2 separate regions of the Mus musculus genome follow, and region 1 is reported to be linked to region 2. Evidence: microRNA targets listed by miRTarBase, many of them from high-throughput screens and not tested one by one. Region 2 holds a microRNA gene; the other region holds the end of a gene's coding sequence.
What was found. Region 2 holds the annotated microRNA mmu-miR-211-5p (UUCCCUUUGUCAUCCUUUGCCU, at 1,567-1,588, shown strand). A microRNA usually pairs through its seed, bases 2 to 8, with sites in the 3' UTR of a target mRNA and lowers its output. Matches are read on the target gene's strand: a 7mer-m8 pairs with bases 2 to 8, a 7mer-A1 pairs with bases 2 to 7 and ends in A, and an 8mer does both.

Region 1 (4,000 bases), not on the chromosome of region 2:
AGGGCAGACGACTCCTTTTCCATTTCCTTCTAGGCTCAGCTTCCTCATGTCAAAGTCCATGCCTACTTTGCTCCAGTCACCCCTCCACCAGCAGTGGCAGGAAGTGGACATCGACTGTGCAGATGCTGTGTCATACTCTGACAGCAGCTGCTTAGGCCACGGGCCCCATCCTCCAGGTTAGACCAGTCTCCTGGCTGTTCCATCGTCACCCTATCTCGACTCTCCATGGTGAAAACATTACAGGTAAAAGACTTCAGCACAGATTACAGTACCTGGTAATGCTATTCACCTTAACACTGCTAGGATGCAAGCAAATCCAGGTCTGTGTCATCCACAGCAAGAGTGGTGTGGTGCAACCTAGAGCCCATCAGAGGTGGGTACCTATGTATACAAGTCCCACCTGGCTTTGTCAGCATTCTATATATACACCTTCAGTGTTAGCACAACCTGAGCAGAGTAAAAGAGCCTGCTGGTTTCTACCTGATCCTTAAGCCAGTGGCCTAATGTAATTCACAGCAATTTCTGTCCATCTGCAGGACTTGTCCACTTTAAAGACTAAATAGCACCTTTATGAACGTGATTGTACTGCAAACTCAGAATGGCTGGTAGTTTCATATGTAGAAGTGTGTGTGAAAGGCATGTTAACATACTTCCATAAGACACCAAAGAAACAAGGCCTCTAAGCTGGGTGGGGCAGGATCTTCACCTTTCTGTTTGTGTCAACTCGTCATACCCAACTCTAGGGACCAAAACCACCCCCTTTGCATTGATCCGCTGGGAATTACAAGCTCTGCCAGATGCCACAGCACACAGTGCATTTCTGTTAAAAGGAAAAAGCCAATTATGTCCATCCACACTTCTCAAAAAATTTGCGGGAACCTTAAGCAAATCCAGAATTAAGGCTCAAGTTATCTATAATCAAGTAAAAATAACAAACAGATGCATGTAGAATGGATGTGGTTTTTATTTACTCTGAATTTTTAGAAATCATAACTGTTTTAAAGCTTGTCAAATGAATGACGTATTTGCAGCTTCAGACTCACAACACCTCACCTTGCTCACTGGAGTCAGATTTTTGCAAATGCAGGCACTCCTGTCCCTGTCCCAGGATGCTGTCTTTTACTATTACGGTGCTGCTGCTCTGTGCCACTGAGACCTCCCACCTTCAATATTAATAATGGTAGCTGAACCTTCCAGCAACCACCCCAACCACAACTGCAAGAAAGAGCTTTTTCTGCCTCGGTGGACAGCACTGAAGCATCTGCATAGATGCAGTGTCTCCGATGCACTCTGGGAGGGAAAGCAGATACACACACATTCCAGAGACTCATCAGGCGAACGGCTCCTTGTAAGGAGTACTGTGATACGAAGGGTACGACTACCACAACAGCTACTTAACTGTGGCGCTGTGTGGGGGGTGGGGGGTGGGGCATGGCTGCTGGAGGAGCTGCTAAGTAAGCACTAGACCTGCTCCAGTGACTCGTGAGACTCACTTCTATGAAATACCCGAGACAACTATGGAATTTTTTCTGAGCTAGAATGATGTGGCTCATTGCAGATGGTGGACTTGATGCTCAGTGACCATGACTTCGAGCCTGATCTGTCTCTTCTAAGTATGCAGCAGGCACTTACTGTAACTACTTGTCTTGAGTTGCATCACCTCTGTGGAAATTGGGATGAACATCTTACACCATGCACATCGAGGCCAACCCTTGAGTCCATGTGACTTCAGATGACAACAGTGCAGCTTAGATTTGAAATGAGTGACACGTTTACAAAACAATCAGAAAACATTTATTACACTGAACTGTACATCCTATAACCAAAGTAGCAGACTGCTGGTGCCATGGGCCAGGTATAGTTTCACTGAGACGGCCTAGCACTTTGTGCTGCTCAGCACAAGTTCAAGTCTGAGGAGCCTGTAAGTACTTTCACCCCACTTCTAAAACCTGATAATGAATTCAAAATAATACACAGCATTAAATGACATTTATTGTTCCATAAATCATGAGATCCAAAAAGGAAAGCTAAATAGACAAGCAAAATTCTAAAACAATTAGGAGATAAGTCCACTTCTTTCCCAAGTAAGTGAATGGTACAGAAAGCATGTGGTCACACAAAGCAAAGGGAAGGACGGATGGGAGCGCTCCCTCCTAAAGGGCCTGCAAGGCTACAGCACTGCCAAACCCAAGAGGAAAATTATCGAGACAGTTTGTTTTGTGGCAAGTAATTAATCCCCAGTATGAATAAAACAAGCTGTTAAAGCCTTTACCCATTGAAGTAGTCTGTCTTCTGGAAGAGATTTCATTTAAAATGTAATTATTCCTACCCACCTGAACAACAAGGGTCAGACAAGCGCATTCACAGCCAGCAGCTAAGCAAATGGGCAAAGATGCTACAGAATTAAAATGGAAAGAAGTTTTTAAAAACTCGGATATGCCACAGGCCTCACGAGAGGTCGTGAGAGAGAGGAGAGGTGATGGCCGTGTGCACGCGTGACTCACAGGCACACCTGCTACAGACAAAGCATGAACGATGCAGAGTACAGAGCCCCCACCAGCCACCATCTAGCCATGATTGTACTGAAACTCGGTATTTGGGCGGGGGGAAGGTTTATGATACATTTTAGTGTCTTGTTATGACATCTAGTGTTTCCAGGGTAATTTTGTCTCATTAAAAAAAAAATCCCTTTAATATCAGAGACATGATACTGTTTCCCCATCATCTAGTTCTGAGGTCTGGGAAGGGCTTTAGACATGTTTAAGAACAGAGTAGGCACAAGACAAGGGAGTATACACACCTGGAGGCTCAAGTAGGGGGTGGGGAGACGAGAAAAGGAAACCACATGAGTTTAAAAGGCAAGGAGGTTTCAAAGGTGAAATCCAGAAACTAAAATGCTAAAACTGGAAGCCCAAGCCAAACGCCCAAGCCTCGGTACCTATTAGGACTTACACTGACCTCGCACACGGAATGGCTGACAGGGAGTGCAGTCTGCTCATCTGCTCGGCTCGGCTCGGCTCGGCTCGGGTCTAGCAGGACCCCTCTGATGTCCACCTTCAGGAAGGAGCTAAGCCTCTTACCTGACCCATACGGCCGTGTCACCCAGTACAGAGCAGCTCCCCCAGAGGCAACTCTATCTCCTCCCCAGGCCAGCATAAGGTTCAGGCAACAAAAGCCAAACTGGCACAGAAAGGTAAATGCCCACGGTTGAGTTTTACATTCAATTCAAACTGCATACAGTGTGAAAAGCAGCAGCAACTGCTCTGGGGGGTTCTGTCCACTGGCCCTTGCCAGGGAAGCAAGTACTTGTGCCCACCACGGTAGAAGCTGGGTCGAATGTCACCTGACATGCTCGCTCGCTCGCACAGGCTCTCTCTCTCTCTCTCTCTCTCTCACGAGGATGCTGGGGCTGTGGCAGTGACACTGAGGAGATTTGCCTCTCCTGCAGCTCCTTAGGAAGGTCATCTTGTGTTTTCAATATGAAACATTTCACAGTAAAATCCAATCCCAAGACTTCTTGGATTCAGTCTTCACACACTTTTAAGCATGACTTTATTTGGTACTGGATAGAGTTCAGTCCGTTTAAGGTATCACTTCAAAATTATGTGAATACCATCATTATTTTCAGCTGCAAAAAAAAAAAGAGGGGGGTGTTAAAACTTCTAAGCTTAGAAGAGATACAGTATTAAAACTGACTGCACTGTTCTAGCTCCTCTTCCCTCAGACACATTCCCTGTAACTCTGCTCAGGGAGCCCAGCCTGCATCATTTGCCAGCTCTATCTACAGGGCAAGGGCTTAAGAGAGCAGCAGCAGATGCACTTGTATGCTAACGCAAAATAGGCCAAAGCACCATGTGAGGGCAGAGCTGAGAAAGCCCTGCAGAAAATGTGCAGGCAGCCTGCAGGTTCTGCTGTAGATGGGTCTCTTTGCTGGAAAACTGAACCCTCGGAGGTAGATATAGCAAGACCTAATGGCCTCAGGAAGTCCTGAGACTCAGTG
Region 2 (4,525 bases):
TGGTCCCACAGTCTATACAGAGGCCTACGCAGAGAAACCCTGTATCAAAAAACAAAACCAAGTTTATATGTTGTGTGTTTACACTCATTTCTTGTGTCTCCTATGACACTTAATATCTAAATTCTGCAGCTTTGATTCACATCATGCTTTCTGTCAGGTAACAAGAGTCTATCAGACCATGTCCAACCCTCTGAGCAAGCTCTCTGTGCTCAACAATTCCCACACTCACTTCATCTTGGCTGACAACGGCACCCTGGGCAAGTATGGTGCTGAGGTGAAGCTTCGAAGACAGCTGGAAAAACACATCTCCCTGCAGAAGATCAACACAAGTAAGTCCTGGGAGGCCATGGGCACCAGCTCGGGACTGACTCTACCAGGGTGGAAACCAGCTGAGAAGGAAATTACCAGAGGGTGCTGATTCTTGCTAGGTCCATGGACTATGCTCAAACTCTTTGCCCTAGCCACCTACCAAATCACCCTCCCAGAGCAGTCATGGGATGTTTTGCCCAGGTTCACAATTTGGTCTGAGACTTACCCTTGCACTATTTGTCATGGTTGTCATGGTGATGGCACTGCCCACCATGTTGCCCTCGGTCTTGTTCAGTGTACTTACTGCTATTATTTTCCTTCATGTTTTATCAGGAAAAAAAAACCTAAAAACTTGTTCCCAAAGATTTGGTATAATTCAGATTGTGACCCAATGAGTGTTGTAGGATCATTACATATCTCTATAGCTCTCAGTCTCCCACATGGACTAAGATGGTGAGATAAGGAAATCCTTGGACTTGGCTACAGGGACATCTGTTCCTGATGGTCACCATACTTGGTGGTCCAGATGGCACAGCTCACTGCTGGGGGGAAATGTGAGGATAAATTAGAGAGAAAGGACTGGCTCCCAACCAGATGAGAGGACCCATAACCTTCTGGGAAATGCCCACATGCAAAACTTCTGCCAGACAATTATGAAATGATCTCACAGAATATTTCATTCTTATCATCACCAGGAATATCTTTGTGCACCACAATCTAGAACTAGGAAAATGTCAGAATGTAAGGAAGTGTGGTATCACTCAAGTGGTTAGAACTGGGGTGCCTACTCCTAAAGGCTATAGATTTCCAAGAATCAGCTTAAACTATTTCTATTAATTCTCTGAGAGTTTTATACAATTTAGTTTTATACAATTATTCTATTCCTCCCCTACTTGTGCCAGATCTACCCCCACCTCCCAAACAGCCCCTGAATTCATGTCCTCTTTTAAAGAAATGACTACTTGACTCCTACTGTTCTGACCATGCAATCACAGGTGTGGGGGCATCCACTAGAGTGTGGTCAACCTATCAGGGCCGCACACTTAAAAAAAAAAACTGACTCCCTTCCCACAGAAGGGAATTTGTCAACTCCTCCCCACCCTCATGCTGGAATACTGACCGGCTTGATCCTGTGCAGCCAGCCACACTGTGAGTTCATGAGTGCGGAGGTCCTAAGAATCAGATCTTGGTGGATAAATCAGTTTGATTTAGTGTTTTTGGACTTGTAAATTCTGCTTGGACCTGTGACCTGTGGGCTTCCCTTTGTCATCCTTTGCCTAGGCCTCTGAGTGAGGCAAGGACAGCAAAGGGGGGCTCAGTGGTCACCTCTACTGCAGAGAGTTCAGAAGCCTAGCCTGAGCCAAGAGCAAGTTCTTCTCTGCTTCTGGAAATGAAGTCGCCATGATCCTGACGATGTAAAAATCCCAAGCACGCTTGGATGGAAATCTCAGAGACAGACGATGCCACCCTGATCCATTTTCCACTATTTCTTTTCTCTCTCTCTCTCTCTCTCTCTCTCTCTCTCTCTCTCTCTCCCTCCCTCCCTCCCTCCCTCCCTCCCTCCCTCCCTCCCTCCCTCCCTCCCTCTCTCTCTCTCTCTCTCTCTCTCTCTCTCTCTCTTTCTTTCTTTCTTTCTTTCTTTCTTTCTTTCTTTTTTGAGACAGGGTTTCTTTGTATAGCCCTGTTTGTCTTGGAACTCACTCCGTAGACCAGGCTGGCCTCGAATTCAGAAATCTGCCTGACTCTACCTTCTAAGTGCTAGGATTAAGGGTGTGCGCCACCACCGCCCGGCTTCATTTTCCACTATTTCTTATTCATGGCTTAGCCCAGTGGGTCCCACCCTTCCTAATACTCTGACCCTTTAATACAGTCACTTGTGTTGTGGTGACCCCTCAAACCATAAAATTATTTTTGTTGCTACTTCATTACTGCAACATTGTTACTCTTATGAATCATAATGTAAATATCTGATATGCAGGATATTTGATACGTGACTCCCCTAAGGGGTAGAGACCCACAGGTTGAGAACTGCTGGCTTAGCCTATGCCATATCTTCACCATTTGCTGGCTGGAATAAACTCAACTGTAATTCTTCTAACAGGAGACAACAAAGTTATCCTGAATCCTTAAGTATCCACTGGGGAAAACAAAGTAGAAAAAGAGAGACTCTGAATTCACTCATTGATAGTCTCAAGGCTTCTTATAGCCCGTGCTGGCAGATTTTATCGGAAGCTCTTGAGAACCATAACATCAAGGACATTTCCTTCCTCTTGTCTCTTGTAATGTTGCTCACAACTACAGAAACCAAGCAAAACCTGATCAGCAGTCAGTGAGCCTGGGTGTTGCCAAGGTCCAAAGCCCAAAACTTCACTGGTCACAGACAGAAAAACATTCAGGAGAGAAATTCTGTCTTTAATTAATGTGTATGGAGTTTTTTCCCAGTTGCTATCCCTCAGAAACACAATATAATAACTACTTTCATGTCATTGCATCATGCCAGGCGTTATGAGTCCCCTGGAGATGGCTTGAGGCACACAGGAGAAGATACATGCAGCTGCTACATCATTTTATATAAGAGTCCTGAGCATCTTGAATTTGGTGTCCAGGGGGATGTTATAAGGTTCTGGAGCCAATCCCTAGTAGATGCCTAGGAACAACTCTATAATATGTTCTGGCCAGGCAGAGATGACATTTTGAAGTAGGCAAGTTTGTCACGAAGCCTCCTCTCCAGCACTTTCCCCCCAGTATTATCTCAGCTTCCAGAATTCTCCCATCACTTCCTGCTGGATCTATCACCAAAAATTTGTCTATTCCTACTGTGCCCTTGAAGAATTATATTATTTATTTATTTTAAATCAGAGTAGACTCTGGAAATAAGCCATTGGCAATGGGCTAATAGTACTCCACGCTTTTACCCCTAAGGTAATATCCTGGGGCCAGAAGTGTTTTAGTCTTGGATTTATAAATTTTGGACATATTTGCATACCCTTTACCAATGATCATCTCCAATCCAAATATTTGGTCTTGGAAGATGTCTTGGGGACGGGTGATGCTCAACCTTTTCTCCCGTATTCGAGGCTCTGGAGGCAGCAACAAGAGCAGACTACCACACGAGTGCCTCTTTGACTTCCCAAACACTACGTAAAAGCCAAATCTATTCTTATATTTCAGGTCTGTTGCTCTTCTTGAGATAAGTGAGGTCCTGATCCTTTTACAACTGGTCACCTGAGAGATGGCGCTTTAATGAATGGTCCAGCAGTGCTTTACTGATAGAGGAGAGGCCCTAGATTGGGCTGAATTCCCCTCTGGCTCAGTCCAGCCCTCCTTATACTGGATCATTGTTGGAAGACAGCCCCTAGCATTTCACACCTAGGCAGGCAGAAAAGGAGCCTTCATAGCAATGCTTTTAAAACTGGCCGGGTGTCCCTGTGTTGGATTCTTTACCAGAGTTGGGTCACATGGGCGTGTCAGGGAGTTTAAGAGTTCTGAAATTTGGAGTTTACAGTGGGGGGCCATGATATGAAGTTCGAATGCAAGAATGAAGACAGTCACCCTTCGCTTGACTTAGTCGAAGCATTGGTCAACATTAGCACTACAAGGAAAGCCCTGTGGCAGGAAGTTTGTGCTTTTTGCTGTTTCGGCATTTAATGCAAGTTGGAGCTGTTCATGTTTGTGTGAGCAACAAGTGTGGTTGTGTTGCAGGGCTGGGCCAGGGTGTACCTGTCGTGGGCCTAGTGGTAGAAGGTGGTCCTAACGTGGTTTCTATCGTCCTGGAGTATCTCAAAGAAGACCCTCCTGTCCCTGTGGTGGTTTGCGATGGCAGTGGACGTGCCTCTGACATTTTGTCCTTCGCACACAAATACTGCGACGAAGGAGGGTAGGTTTGGTGTGTGACAAGGGTGAGCTCTTAATGGCTTTTTGTCAGACTGGGGAAAACATCTGACACCCCTCAGATATCCCCCAAAATGTCTAATTTACAAGGGGTTCTCTTGATCTTCTCTCCTGAGCTCCCGAGATCAGCATGAGAATGCCCAGGAGCTCCTGTTCCTGACTGAATCCTCTCTGCCGACATCTCTCTTACAACTTTATTTTACAGTATTAAGTCTTGCAAAGAGCTAAACGCAGGCCAATTTTTAATGCTGCTTTTAGACTGGGTTGGCTTTTTGTCTCCTGTACACAAATCTCATCCATTAGCAGTCCAAAATCAAAAGTACTG

Region 1: miRTarBase lists Ubp1 as a target of mmu-miR-211-5p. Seed matches in the 3' UTR shown: 7mer-m8 at 2,686-2,692.

The regions. Positions count from the first base shown.
Region 1 is chr9:113,974,974-113,978,973 of GRCm38, reverse strand. It overlaps Ubp1 (upstream binding protein 1), which reads right to left. Exons shown (of 16, transcript NM_001372510.1): 16 at 947-3,628. The coding sequence ends at 3,591. Fbxl2 (F-box and leucine-rich repeat protein 2) reads left to right here. Exons shown (of 15, transcript NM_178624.6): 15 at 34-2,016. The coding sequence ends at 141. Among named protein-coding and RNA genes, the nearest start is that of Ubp1, 46 kb to the right of the region's middle.
Region 2 is chr7:64,204,265-64,208,789 of GRCm38, forward strand. It overlaps Mir211 (microRNA 211), which reads left to right and starts at 1,542; the gene lies at 1,542-1,647. It overlaps Trpm1 (transient receptor potential cation channel, subfamily M, member 1), which reads left to right. Exons shown (of 27, transcript NM_001039104.2): 6 at 158-329; 7 at 4,012-4,186.